Lonchura striata: one gene and its partner. The protein of the gene in region 1 interacts with the protein of each later gene in a pairwise test. Links are inferred from orthologs where the notes say so. Each region holds a gene or a part of one and is shown on either strand. Other genes may lie near its edges.

Evidence for each region.
Region 2: the proteins of MYPN (region 1) and ANKRD1 interact in a two-hybrid assay, tested with the Homo sapiens proteins (2 studies listed by BioGRID). The link is inferred for Lonchura striata from reciprocal best matches to the Homo sapiens genes MYPN and ANKRD1.

The regions. Positions count from the first base shown.
Region 1 is NC_134609.1:35,268,721-35,276,514, forward strand, and holds the start of MYPN (myopalladin), read right to left. Parts: upstream 3,079-7,794; 5' UTR 2,848-3,078; intron 1-2,847. UniProt on the Homo sapiens protein: Component of the sarcomere that tethers together nebulin (skeletal muscle) and nebulette (cardiac muscle) to alpha-actinin, at the Z lines.
Region 2 is NC_134609.1:16,243,630-16,251,119, forward strand, and holds the start of ANKRD1 (ankyrin repeat domain-containing protein 1), read right to left. Parts: upstream 3,082-7,490; 5' UTR 3,034-3,081; coding exon 3,004-3,033; intron 1,752-3,003; coding exon 1,572-1,751; intron 313-1,571; coding exon 175-312; intron 86-174; coding exon 1-85. UniProt on the Homo sapiens protein: May play an important role in endothelial cell activation. May act as a nuclear transcription factor that negatively regulates the expression of cardiac genes. Induction seems to be correlated with apoptotic cell death in hepatoma cells.

The DNA.
Region 1 (7,794 bases):
CAGGAAATGCACATTAAGAACTCTAACTTTTACAACATTTCCTTTGTACTCTCATATAATGAAAAGACGTTTGATTTTTCACTCTTATCACAGAAAGTCTTCCTTATTCCATAATTAATATTGTCCCTTAGTAGTTCTCAAAATGAGAACTGAGACTCTTTATCCCATGTTTCAAGTTCCTTTTTCCTCCTCAGTGGATCTCCTTGAACTGCAAAGCAAACAATATCTTGAAGAAACAACTTCTCATTGAAACAAATACATTTTCATCTGATTTTTAAATTAAAAGTTTGGAAAGAAAGGCAGGTGATGGCTGTCTTTGAGGCCTGTCTGGGATGGTTCTCCATCCTCCTCTCCCAAAGACCTGTGCAGCCAAGCCTCAAGTATCCGGGTAAGTTATGAGGGAACTTCAAGTGCTCACAATGTAGGACAATTCAAGTATTTTATATAGTCCTCTTTCCTTCAAGGATTGCCCAAATGAGAAAAAGTTCATATGAAAGGCCAAAACAGCTGCAGCAGAGATCCAACAATTTGATGCTGAATGTACATATGGAAGTCCTCAATGAAAATATAATTAACAGGCAACAATATTCATTTATCCTGGTTCAAACACACGCACACCACTCTGCTAGACTGCAAATCCTTTTCCATGGATTGTGAGCCAAATGATCTAAACTCAGCCATTTCTGTGAGTCCTGCTGGCAGTGTGTGGGAGCAGTGCACAAATCCACACATGCACGTGGCTGAGGATTTCAGCTTGGGACTGAAACTACAGCTGAGCTCTCAGTGCTCAGAGGTGCTGCACAGCTGAGCCTGGACTGACAAATGACAGCCCTGCATTGGCACTGTAATGAGAATTTGCACAACTCAACGTGCTGAGCAGAAGTCTCTGTTCTCCCCCTGTGTGTGAGGGCACCAGTGTCAGGGACTCCCACACGAGTGCTGGTGACTGCAGCACTGCCAGCTTGTGCAGCCAGACTCAGCAAGTGCAGGCTGAAAAAGCAGGGCTGTGCAAACCACATGGCATTTGTCTGGAAATTTCAAATCCGTGGGCTGGTTGGATTTAAAATGAGATTCAGTTTTCCTACAAATACAGGTTCCCAGTGGAAAAGGGAACTTAAGTGTTAAATTAGACACAAAAAAAGGCTGGATTGTGTTTTTCTCCTCAGATTTTTCAGTTGGACCTTTCTTTTTTCATGGTCTCACTGTATTTCTTTTTATACACTCATCTGTCTTTTTTTAATGTTTTTTTCAACGGTCTTCCCTAAGAACATTGTAACATAAAAGCCCTCATATTTTAATCATATTTTCAAACTTGCAATGTTTAAATGAGACTTATATTCGACAGGAATAATTTGCCCATTCCTGTACAATATTCCTGTTTATGAAAACAAGCACTAAGCCACTTATGTTTTAAACAGAAAAGTAAACTGATCCTTATTTCTTTCCCCCCTCATCCTGTGGTTTAGATTACAATTGAGGTTGCATTGCCCAATTACCTTTATGGTATTGTGTACATTTTTGACAAATTATCTTAATGTTGTGTTTATGTGCAAATATGCCTAGACTACTAATTGTTACTGGCTTTGGATAAAAAAAATTCCTTTCGTATCACAGCAAGACCTGCTGCAAAGTCTCTGAAGAATGCACAGAAATAAAAACCAGCACAGATCACACAGTTCCCCTTTGTGCTTGTTACTCTGCCATGTCCAAGACCTTTAATATCTCCTGAATTGACTATAAATATTCTTTGATATGTAAAACATTATTCTGCTCAGCTACAGGAACTACCACTCTATTGCTGTTAAATTTTGTTAGCTATTTCTGAAAGTAAAAAAACCACAAACTTAAAGACACACAAAAACAAAGAAATATCCTGACCTTAGGAACCTTCAGGAGGTGTAGGAGAGGGAGAAGAGCAGAGTTGAAGTTTATGAAATTGTTCCATTAACGCTTGCTGATTTTGTTTTCACTCTTAAACTCTAGAGCATCTTCACAAATGGAAACCTCATGACCGAAACAAAACTGCTGATAAAGTAATCAGTGTCTTTAGCATGATTTGTATAATGTTCTATTAATGTATGCTCAGGAACTACTCTGTTCTCTTGTCAATTGTTGATGTATTATTTGGTAACTTAACGTGGGCTTCTGATTACTGCTTAATGTTGCAATATATTGAGCCAAACATTTGCTACTGACAGTCAAATACTTTTCTGAGAGAGAGAAAGAGAGCAAAGGAGATAGTGAGCTCAAGGGTGAGAGCTATGCCCTTCTAGCAGGACTGTTTCTGCAGCTGTTGTGTACATTAATCCGGAGAGCAGATCTCCCTGCACTAAATATAGCCACGGGGGTCATTTTACATGACAGGATAAATAATTAAATAAATAGAAAGCATTTAACTATGGGGGTCACATTAAATTAGGTTTGATTTTGCTTAAGAAGGACTTCCAAATGACGGCATGTTGGTTTTAAGTCTGAATACAATAATGTATATATTTCACTCCTCCATTATTTCATGAAGGAAAGATGAACAGGAAGAGGAAAGAGTCCCAGCAAGGAACTTTTCAGGTCATTAGAATCTTGTTGACTCTTTAGAGGAGTCAGACTGGCTCCAAGGGATTTTGAGAACCCCACCAATGCTATTCAGGTCCTTTATAATGCCGCAGAACACCGTTTCTCTTTCACTGCAATGCACATACCTCAGCATAATCTAAGTCAGTTTAAAAACATATTTGTTCCCTGTATATGCCTTACCAGCTATAATTAGCATTCAAATATACATGCTTGTCAAACCCTTCTGCTACACTCTGCAAAATCAAAAGGTAGACTAATCTGAAACGGAGGGATTACCTTTTTTAATTCCTCCAGATGTTGCTGCCCAACCTGGCAGTGAGTAGCGCTGAGAGTTATCCAGAAGTGTGAGGTTAAAGTAAGGAAGCGAGGGGATTCTTCGAGTCCTCAGGAACAGAAACAGCTAGGAGTCCATGGAGTGAGGGAAGTTAACCTTCGTTATTGTGAGGATGGCTGTAAGGAGCTGGACAACCTGTCACCACCGGAGCAATAGCATTTGTCAGTTTGCAGGTCCCGAGTTATTTTGAGCAGCGTAAACCATGTGCCCGCGGAGCATTCCACCTCATTGGACAGGGAATCCGCTGCTCCCGCAGCACCTATGGGCACCCGATGCCTTCTCCTCGCTCATGCAGTGGCCCCTATAGATGCATATGTGGGTTTTGCTGATTCATCCAAGAGCCTCTGGAGCGGCATTGTATCACTCTTGGCAGCTGCTTTGCATTTCAGCCTTTTCAAATTACTATTTTTCGCTCTTTCATTAAGTTTCCATCAGAACCTGAAGGTTTCGGTCACAGGGAAACCCATCAGATGGTAACGTCAGTTTTGCAACCCTAAAGGCAAACTTGGGAAAATGTATTATTTAAATAGTAAAATATTCCTGACTTTGATGGAGTGTTCGGTTTAATAAACACAGTGAAACAGTGCAGAAATCCTTCAGGATGACCTGTAACTACAGAATCCTCAAAAACCTAGAACTTCTACATTTGTTATTGAATGCACAGAAATGAACTGTTGGAGGAAAAGCAATTAAAAGAGGTAATTGAAACTAAGCTGTAAATAAAACTGAGAAAGAAACATAGGTGGAACAACTTCAATGCACTTGAACCACTACACAGAGAAACCCTGTTACTATATAGAATTTCATTGCTTAAAACCTTGACTTGGCCAAAACCTACCACATCTGTGTAACACAGAGATGAGATTTTCATTGCTACTCTTCCTACACTCCAGCAACAAAAATTGGTCTGTAATTTTAAACAGTTCATCATGCTGCTTGATTGTTGATATTTTATTAAAAATGCTTGCCACAATTCTGATTTTTTAGATTACTAAAATATTATGTATTTATGATGGGGAATTGATATATAAGCCTTCTCATAGCTAATGATGTAAGAGCTGGCTTCTTAACCTTCTCCCAGGTCTCTCAAAATATTATCAAGTGAGCACCTGTGCTAGAAAAGGAGTTCATCTGTGGAATGTAGTTCTTCAGAAAGTTATTTTATGAGTTGCAACAGTATGAAAAGTCAGAGGCAAAGGCAATTCTTTCACGTAAAATTTCCTGATGCATTACAGATACTTTTATGTTTTTTCCCTCTCTTTGTAAAATATTATCATGGTTTAACCCCAGCTGGTAACAAATCCTTACACAGCTGCTCACTCCCAACCCCTGGCAGGATGGTGGAGAGAATTGGAAGAGTTAAAGTGAGGGAACTTATGGACTCAGATAAAGGCAGTTTAATAAATGAAACAAAAGTTGTGCACACAAGCAAATAAAAGCACAGATTTCACATAGAATCACAGAATAAGCTGAGTTGGAAGGGACCCATAAAGATCATCAAGTCCAACTCCTGATCCTGGTCAGGACCATCCCCAAGAGTCATGTGCCTGAGAGAATTGTCCAAACACTTCTTGAGGTCCGTCAGGCTTGGGGCTCTGACCACTTCCCTGGGGATCCTGTTCCAGTGCCCATCTTCCCTCTGAGTCAAGAACCTTTTTCTAAAATCCAGCCTAATCCTCCCCTGCCACAGCTTCAGGCCTTTAGCCCAAGTCCTGTCACTGGTCACCAGAGAGGAAAGATGGTTGCCCTGTTCCAGGTGTAGAATCCAGCCCTTTCCCCTGTTGAACTTCGTGTGGTTGATGATTGCTCAGTCCTCTGATCTGTTGAGGTCTCTCTGCAAGGTCTCCCTGCCTTCAACAGGGTCAGCAGCCCCTCCCAGTTTTGTATCATCTGTAAACTTGCTCAGTGTCCCTTCCAGTCCTGTGTCCAAGTCATTTATGAAGATGTTGAAGAACACAGGCCTTAGGATGGAGCCATGTGGAACCCTGCTAATGACAGGTCACCAGTCTGATGTCTGCCCCATTCACCGTCACCCTTTGCACCAGACCCGTGAGCCAGTTGTTCACTCATCCCATAATGTGTTTGTGGGATGTGCCTTTTGTCCAGAAGGATCTTGGGAGAGACAGTATCAAAAGTTCAGATTCAGATTTACTGAAATCCAGAAAGATTACATCAACAGGCTTCCCTTGATCAACTTGGTGGGCTGCTTTGTCCTACAAGGAAGCCAGATTTGATAAGCAGGACTCCTCTCTCATGAGGCTGTGCTGGCTGTGACCAATGACTGCATTTTTTTCAGGTGTTTTTCAATGCCTCCCAGAATAATCTTCTCCATAACACTGCCAGGCACTGAAGTGACACTGACAGGTTTAATTTCCAGGATCCTCTTTCTTGCCCTTCTTGAAAACTGGGACAACATTTTCCAGCTTCTAGTTACCTGGGATTCCCAACACGGCTCATAAATCATAGAGAGAGGTTTTGCAATGACATCATCAGTTCTTTGTGGAATCTTGGATGGGGCCCATCAGGCCCCATGGATTTGTAGGGATTCAACTGGAGCAGGAGATCCTGCACAGTTTCAGGGTCAGCTGAGAATTGATAATTTTTTCAGTCATGGTCCTCTAGCTTGAGGCACTGAGACCCCCTCGGTCTGTCATCCATGTTGAAGGCAGAGGCAATGAATGTGTTAAACAGCTCTGCCTTGTCCATGTCCCTGTTCATGAGGTGACCATCTTCATCCTGGAACGGGCTGATGTTATTTCTACACTTCCTCCTGCCATTATTACATTTGAAAAAACTCCTTTTTATTGTTCCCTACAGTTCTGTCAGCTTCAACTCTAGCTGAGCTTTGGCCTCATGAATTTTATCCCTACAGCTGCAAGCAACATATCTGTATTCTTCCCATGTCTCCTGGCCTTGCTTCCACTGGCCATACACTTTCCTTTCTTGCCTTATTTCCAAGAGATGATTTCTGTTCAGCCAATCTGGCCTTCTTCCTCACCAGCCTAGTTTCCAACATTTGGGAGTTGCTGCTCCTGTGCACTTAGGAGGTGTTTAAAAAGCAACCAGCACTGGCTGATCCCAGCATCTGCAAAAATACATTCCCAGGGGACCTTGCTGACTAACTCCCTGAGCAGCCTGCAATCTGCTCTCCTCATGCCTAGGGTTGAAGTTCTGCTGGCACTTTTCCTCCTGTCAACAGAGATTTTAAACTCAATCACTTCATGGTCACTATGGCCATGACAGCCCCAGTCCCCACTTTGCTCACAAGATCCTCTCTGTTGACAAGCAGCAGGTCAGTGAGGGGATCTTTCTGAGTCGGCTCCCTTAGGACCTGTTCCATGAAGCTGTCATCTGGAATTTTTAGGAATTCTCTGGCCCAGGTTGTACCAGTTAATTTCTGGAAGTATAAGTCTCCCATAAGGACGCAAGCAGTTGATTTGAAAGCATCAAAGATGCTCAAAGAAAAGTTTGTCAGTGTCATTGTCCTGCATAGGAGGTCTGTGGCAGACTCCCACGATGACATCTGTGTTACTTGTTTGCCTCTTGATTTTATCCAGAGGCTCTCAACTGTGCCCTTGCCAGCTGGGAGCTCCATGCATTCTAACCCTTCTATTCCATACAGTGCCACCCCTCTGTCTCTTCTGCTCTGCCTCTCCCACCTGTAGAGTGTGTAACCATCCAACAGGGAATTCCTGGCACAAGACTCATCACACCAGGTTTCACTTATACAATGATGTCAAGCTCTGGGACTGGGCCAAAGCCTGGAGCTGCTCTTGTTTGTTCCTGGTGCTGTGTGCATTAGTGTAGGAACATTTTAGGTGTGGTACTTTGTAGGCAAACTTTGTGAAGCAGATTGAGGGATCTGTAAGTGCTCGTTTCCTCCTTGTGGCGCAGCGTCCCATCCCTCGGCACTGGTGAGCCTGGTTATGTCTCTTTCCCTCTTCCAAGCTGGTTTAAAGCTCTGTCAATGAGCTTGCTAGCTCCTGTGCTAGAGCACCTTTTCTGCTCTGATTGATGTACCCAGTCAGGTGGCAGAGTAGTACAGCTGCTGAGGAGATCTTCCCATGGTCAAAAACCCCCACATTTTTCCACTGAGACCAACCTCGGAGCCATGCATTGGCCTGATGGATCTGACTATTCCTATTTCATTCCCCACTTCCCATGGCTGGGCAGGTGTTCATCAGGAGAGCAGGGGCCCATCCCATGCAAAGGTGACATGGGAAGACAAAACCCCAGGGCTCTGAATGTCCCTGGAATGTTCTTCTCCTCCCCCCAGCTCTGTGTGCTGAGCATGGCCCCACATGGTTGGGATATCCCTTGGGATATCCCTTGGGGTCAGCTGTCCTGGCTGTGTCCCCTCCCAGCTCCTCACTGGTGGGTTGTGTGAGGCAGAGGAGGCCTTGGCTCTGTGTGAGCTCTGCTCAGCAATGCCCAAAACATCCCTGTGCTACCAGCACTGCTTCCAGCACAGATCCAAAGCACAGCTACTGTGGAAGAAACCTTAATTCTACCCCAGCAAAAACCAGCACAAATACCATTGTCAGAATCCATTATGAGCATGAGTTTGTGGTGAAGGTATGGAAAGATTGTGTGGTGAAGTCAGCCCTTCTCTTGGGCACAGGTGAGGCATTTTATGGGTTGGGTGGTGTATGATGTAAGGTTATATCTGAAATAGAGATCTAAGATATTCTTTATAGTATCTGTAACAGTAGATGTGGCCATACAGTGCTGGCAGGAACTGCCTGTTGATACTGTACCCCATGCTGCTGTGGTTTGGACAGTGTCCGTAGATGCTTAGGCTACAAAGTCTGCAGCCTGAAAATTAAGTCTGATGTGTCTGGTAATAATTGTAAATCTATGGGGAGTTCTGCTGAGATGCAATTATTTAC
Region 2 (7,490 bases), about 19 Mb from region 1:
CTTTGTCTGACAGGTATTTTTCAATTACTGGCAACTTATTCTCCAGTGCAGCTTTGAAGAATGTGGGAATATCCACGGGTCCTGTCTGAAGGAAAGAATATAGAGAACATAAATGTGTGTGGCACAAACCCTGATTAATACTTTCCCAGAATAAGCTACTTGGAAGTAACTTACAATAACTTCTGGTTCAGGTTTCTTTAAAACAGGCACTTTCACTTTCTTGCATCTTTTCTTCTTCTTCAGCTCAATAATTTTTTCAAGATCCTCCAAATTTTCAAGTTTTGACCTGGCCTCTAATTTCTTCTTCTTCAGCTGGAACAAATCAGGGAAAACAGCAAGTTGAGCTGTGTGACCACCTCTCCCTTTCAGAGTGCCAGGACAGCAATGTGATACTATTCAGCTGAATTCAACTAAGACTGGATGAACTTAGAAATAAATAGTTTAATTTTTTTTTCAGATAGGGTTTCTCTAGACCTGCTTATAAAAAGCATCTGGGCATGAAATCAGTGTGGGGTACTGCTGACACCAAGGGCAGGTGTGTTGCCTGAACTGAGCTGCCATTAGGTGTTCTTGGCTTCAGGACAGTCACAAATGGGTTAACTCAGGGTGAATACAGATGACAGATTCTGTCCCATTGTGTGATTAAGGGTGAATACACTGGTGACACCCTGTCAGATGGTATATCGTTTTGTCAACTGAATTCTTACTCAAGTTATTTCCACCTTTTCTTTTTATTGTTCTCTGCATGTGTGGTTTGGTCTGCAGGTCATTGGTCTAATAGAAAATAATTATGTTGAAGTTTAAGAAGTAGTTTTTATTCTAGTGTTTCTGAGACTGACTTTCTTCCTCTTCATGTTTTAGAAAAAATCTTATTTCCCCTGCTACTTAAAGTTGATAATTTCCAAATCACTTTAAATTTTTAGGCCAGTTGATTGCTTATTCATTAAAAAAAAAAAGATATTACAGCTACTGTGTTATGTGTTATTGGGGGGAAAGAACATCAGTACTTAAGGATCTAGGGAGAATTGTCATGCTCCAGGAATTGAAATTAGTACTTTTCTGTAGACTAGTATGAGTTTCATTTGTAGCTGTTCTTCCCAAATGTGCTAGTAAATGTAATGCCTTGTTTTCATAAAAAGAACATTTTCATGTTAATTAAGGCTTCTGGCTTCAGAAATGCACTCTTACATCTTTTGTGGGTTAGTGATTTTTGGTAGCAGTCATTAGGTGTGCAAGCTGAAGGTGTCTCCCTGGCTCTGACTGCTCCCCCTGCACTGACAGCTAGCAGCAGCTGAGCCTGGGCAGAGGAGGTCTCAGGGGTTCAGGCAGGCAGTATGGGGTGGTTTAGGTTCTGCCTCAATGTGTTACTGCCTGCACCCACAGGCTACAGAGGTGAGCACACCTCCGTGGTCTCCAGTGGGCTTTAGACCAGCCTTCTTTCATGGTAGTTTCCCAAGGGTTTTTCTAGCTCACCATGTATTTCTAACTTAGAGAGTGGCAGAACTTCAAGGACTGCAGCAGGAAATGCATACATGATGATAAAAATCCAAGCAGAAAACCCAAGAGCCTACCTCTGCATCGAGTTTTCTCTCCTTCTCATAAGCCAGATCACCTCGGGCCAGTGAGTGCTCAGGGATTGTCTTTAGGTCCTCCTGCTTCTCTAATCTTACTGCAGCTTCGTACTCTCCGTTTTTGAAGTCCTCAGGGAGGAAGCTGCCAGTCTCTTTATCATCCACCTTCTTCCCAGTCACCTGTAAAGGCAAACATGATATAATATAATCCATGCATTCCTGACTGCAGCAGCCACCACCTGGAAACATGGATTGCCTCGGCTGATTGCAGCTCATTCCTGCCCTCTCTCAGTGTGTGACAGCCAGGACAGGCCGTTCTGCCTGTGCTTGGTTAGCTGGGGATGCAGCTGGTTGGGACATATCTCCCATGCACTTAAATCGGGTTGCTGAGGGATTTCAAGGCTGGTTTTATCCATTGCTGTCAGTACCAAAGTCCCACTCATAGCAGAATGGCAGAAGCTATGTGGTGCTGTGCAGCAGCACAGCTTTCAATAGTTTTCAGAAATATTTCTGATGCCAATTAAGTGTGTATGAAGAGATGACTTGTTAAACTTAGTAGAGGCAGATGTGTATTTTGAGAGTGGTTCATGTGGCCTAGACTTTCTGTTTGATTTTATTTGTTTAGAGTCTAATGCAGAAGAAACTGTGAGAACCTTGCCAAAGATTTTAAGACAGCATTAATTACTTAGGCAGCTGTATCTTAAGCAAACCATCTGGGAAAATAAGTGCAGTGTTTTACTGAATCTTTCCCATTTTCCCAGTTTCTCCATCAGATCAGACATTCTTAGTCTGAATCCTGCAGTGGAATGTCCCATTATTTGTGGTCTAGACCTAATTTTTCAAAGACTTTTACATCATGAACAGAGGTGGCTGTAGGAACGGTTAGTTTATTATTAGAAAACAATACTATTATTAAGCTGCTAATTTAGTGTTATAAAATACTGTAGTTTCCAAGCACTATTATGTTGTCCCAGTCACTTGTTATATAGGAATTACTTTGTGAGATCATAAAATTACTGGCTTCTAAAAATATATATGAATTAAAACCAAGGACAGAGTCAAATAAATAGCTACATTTTGGTTGATCTTTGCCTGGTAAACTATGCTGTGATGCCAAATCCAAACAGCTGTATAGTTATATCTGTGATGAGACCCTTTCCCAAAGAAAACTTAAAATTATAATATAATATAATATAATATAATATAATATAATATAATATAATATAATATAATATAATATAATATAATATAATATAATATAATATAATATAATATAATATAATATAATATACATTATATGAGGGTTTGCACCTAGACCACAGCAGTCTAACTTGCTAAATCAGTGATCCACAAAGGTCTTCTTTCTGTGCCTGGTCCAATGGCAGTCTAGAAAATAATGAATTGTGAGTAAATGAAGGAAGGTTGCACCTACCAGCTCTTCTACTTTCATCATCATCGTCATATTTGCTGGTGATCGAAGGCTGTGCTCCTGTATGGCTGGAACCTCCCAGGGCTCAGGCCAGCTCTGCAGGAACCACCACGCTCACTGCACTTATATATCTTTGGGAGAACTGTGCTTGAATGAGATAATCTTCCAACCTGGGAATCCGAGTATGCCCCTTGTGCTTGCCAGCTGAGAGGTGGCTCAGGCTCATTCCAGACACGTTAATGAGCCAGATCTGGTGTCGAGGCAGCGAGGGGCGTCAGCTGGGCCAGGAAGGGGGAGAGCCCCACAGCCCCACCACAGTATGGGAATCAGAATGAAATGTGAGCTCATCATTCCTTTGGCAATGACTGCACTGCTCAGCAATGCCAGACATTCTGTGCTCCCAGTGCCCACTAGGACAGCTGTGTGTTGATGCAGCATTATAACTTCATCTTCTTCTTTCTTTTTTTTTTTTTTAATTGACATTCAGATGTCTGTAAGACACTGTAAAGGGTAAATGGCTTATGTACAATGCTTATAGCAATATCTTCCTGCTAAATGGACTATTACCTCTGAAGTCTCAAAAAGCCATTATTTTCATTGCTATTTATTCTTGGATGATAAACACTTTTAGGGGAAAGGCTTTTTCTCATCATGATGACAGTCTTCTATATTTGTTGGAAGGAATTCTCTGAAGGGATTACTATACCAGAATGATGTCTCTGGTGCTAAAAGGGCCTATGACATGATGAGCTACAATCAGTGTAAGATATCAAAACAGTAAGATTTGCATTTTTTTGGACCCTTGTCAATTATTATAAGCCAAATAATGAATTATGTTTATGCAAAGAAAAAAAAAGATGAAGGGGGGAAAACGTAATACTGTTTTCTCGGGCAATATTTTCCTTCTGGATATGGAGAGAATAGACGTCCAGAAGTGATTGTTTATTTTTTAGGATAAGATGAGATACAGACGGATATATGCAGATGATGTGTGTGTTTTGGGGGAAAAGGGCTATTGAATCCTTTGGGAAAGCTTTTCTTATGCTATGAATCAAAGCAGTCTGGAATCAGGAGAATGATCACCAGCAGAAAGCAGCTTTATAGGAGGAAGAGGCACTAATCTTTGCATTCAAAGAGTGTGAGTAAATGCCAAGACACATCGGTTCTGCGACAGTGCAATGCCTGGAAGTGCTGTCCGGTGAGGCACGCAGGTCACCTGGCTGAAATGAATACAGCAGCTCAGGTGCTCCAAGCACAACATGTACACAAGTGCTTCACCAAATGGAGACCTAGCTCGGGTGTTGTTTATACCATCAGCATCATTAGCATGCTGCATTCCTGACACTGACCTTTCAAGGTGTCTCTCCTCTGAACTATCCCCCAGTAATCCGAGTACATCCAAACTTGTCTTCTGGTGCCCATCATACCTATGCCCTCCCTTTCCCTGAAATGAAGCTGGACATCAGGTGGTTCCTTTACCACTCAGAATATATATGACATTAGAGAATGAGTCCCAGAACTAAAATAGAGTATGTGCTAGCAACACAACCTTTCAGAACATTTTTTTCTAAACTTAAGTACAGCAACGCTATCATTACCCCCCAGTGGTATGTTCTGAATCTCACTGCCAGGCTTTTTTTCACTGCAGTTTTGTACTCCTGGTAAATGTCTCTGTGACAAGAGGCAGCTCTGGCATTTTCTTGTGTTCTAACAGTTTACCTCAATCTGATCAGTTCTCTGATTTTTACTTGGGAGATTGTCTTGAAATCCACAACTCTAACAGGATGGCTGGATAGAATGCTTCCTGTTTAGTGAAAACAGATGACAGCAGAGACCTGATGCAGAAAAAAAATGTAGAGGTTTGCTTTTAGAACAGAAATTGTTTAAGGAACTGTGAACTTCCTCTGGACTCATTTTTTTGAAGCTTACTTTTCCCTTTTTTTGCTTGCCTTCTTTTTCTTTTTTTTTTAACAGCCTGAGATATAAAACTGACTCAGCAAATGTGGAAGCTTCCTTAATGTGGAAGCTTTAAGGGGATAGATCTTCCTTTGCAAATGGTACATAAATCCAGAGCTAGAGTAGCTTTACAGGAAACCTCAGTGCTCTGAGGGGAAACAGAAACCAATTCTCACAAGTGCTGCCAAAACACCACTGTTTATTCATCTTTAAAGCAACCCATCCATGATGACTAAAAGAATAATAAAAAATAGAATATTCCTTGATTATCCAAACTTTCTATTTTGAAATAGTGGCACCCAGAAACCCACTTTAACCAAAGCCTGGGATCTAAATTAACCTAACAGTAATTGCTTTTAAGCTAAATGTCATGTAAACAAAGGCAACACGATTGAAATAGCAGAAATGCACCAGTTTGTATCAGCTAAGACTCTTGGCTTATCACTATTGCTTCATATTGGAGGGGGAAGTAGTATAATGAGCTTGTAACCTTGTACTGGACAGTAACCACTCAATCACCTTTCATCAAGTGATTTCTCGTTAAGGTGGTAATAGCAGATGGTCAGTGGGTGATGTGTAACAGGAATCTAAAAAACTCTTGCCACTCCACTGAAGGATAAGGGCAGAGAAATCATCTGCAAGGTGTGAGGCAACTGGATATTGTCACAAAACTCCTCCACAGAGAAAACACGAAAGGACAGTAGGCTCATCATGACAGGCAGAGAACTGTGGCACACCCTGTTCCCTGCTACCAAAATTGAACTGACAAGAGTAAAGAATGTTTGTCATTAATTTCTCTAAGTGATTAATGCTAGTGTGAAAGTATCATGTATGATAAAAATGTTATTGCCACCTCCTGTCAAGTGTGCCACGGTCGTGTGTTCAGTGGTGTCACTGCTCATCTGTCTTGCATTTTCCAGCACTCTGCCCTTGGCTCTGTCCATGCACCCATAGGTGCTGCCCTTGGATGCCACTGTGCCTGGCTGCCTGTTGTCCTTTCCCTGCTGCTAAGTAAGTAAGGTATGAGAAAATCACTTGCTGAGGAGTGCTTATGCACCTAAGAGGTTATTGAGCCAGCAAACTGTTCCATATGTGTGCAAAGATAAATTCTTAACCAAGGTACACAGAAGCAGCAACCACAGGTTACTCCTCCTGGTTTAGTGATATGTTAGTGTGCAATGGCTTGTTTATTTTGCAGTGTGTGTGTGCACCCAGCACACTTTATATATCCACATGAAACAGCAGTATGTAACTGCATATTGCAAGAAATGCATTTATTTTCTCATCTTTCTTTTAGCTGTTTTTTTTTCATAAAAGGCAGGAAACACTTTTATTTGTCTAACATATTCTCTTCAATACTTTTGTCAAGAAGTTAACTGATTTGGGAATAAGTTAACTATGATTTTACATCATTGTTTGGACACGTGATGAAAATACTAAACGATGTTGAACCAGGAACTGATCCATGTGGGAATCTGCTAGAAATAGTTCCTCTCATTACTCTCACCACTTTGCAATCTGTCAGTGAGCCAACTTTTAGTTCTTCCAAAGTGCATCCTTTTAATTCCATACAATGCATGCTTTTTAATCATACCAACATATGCAATAAAATGAAATGCCTTTGGCAAGACCCAAGTAAACTGCATTAACGTGAATGCTACTCTCAAACAGACCTTTAATTCTGCAAAAAGACACTTTTTAAAAAAGGTTTTCTTTGCACCTAGCCCTACAGATTGGCATCCATTTCGTGTAACTTGTCTGATTCTGTCTTGATAAAGCTTTGGTTAGCTCTTCGCCCTGTTTTCCCAGAACTAAGTCATGTCAGTCAGCCTGTTGTTAACTCTTTCATAATTTTCAGCCGGTCAAAACATCTTGGGAGCTAAAAAAAAAATGAAAAGGAGCTTCTCTGCTTTCCTGGCACTGAAGCTGGCCTATGATATCTTTGGATGCAGCCCAAGTGGATGCTCTACCTGAGGGAGATTCCTGCTCCTTGTGAATAAAAAGGAGCTCAGGGAATCAAGGTGATAAAGAATTGGATGGATTTTGCTTTAAAATACAGGAATGTTTTCACAAAGCATTGATTTTGTAATCTCTTAGCAAAACAGTAGTGTGTCACAACTCTCTTATAAGATGTGCACTCAGGCAGCCTCTCTCTTTCTCATTTATTGGAGTCATATCCACTATAATGTTATAAATAGCTTGAGAATAATTTTAAAATCACTATTACCTGGAAAAATAACCCTTTTCTTTTTTAATTTTGGGAAGAGAGGGTTTATTGGTTTGGGTTTTGTTTTTGCTTTTAACAGTTTGCAATTAAAATGTAAATGTGTAAATCTGCTTCACATTAAATTTGCTGAAAAGCTATTTCTTCCCTTTCATGAAGTTTCATTGGCAGTAAGATATCACTGGATTTTTATCCAAGCTCTGTTTAACAAATATCTCCTTTGATTCCAATAATACCAGTGAGGGTGCAAATTTACAATTACATTATATCATATGTTGGTCATCCTCTTTGGGCTGGAGGATAGATACTT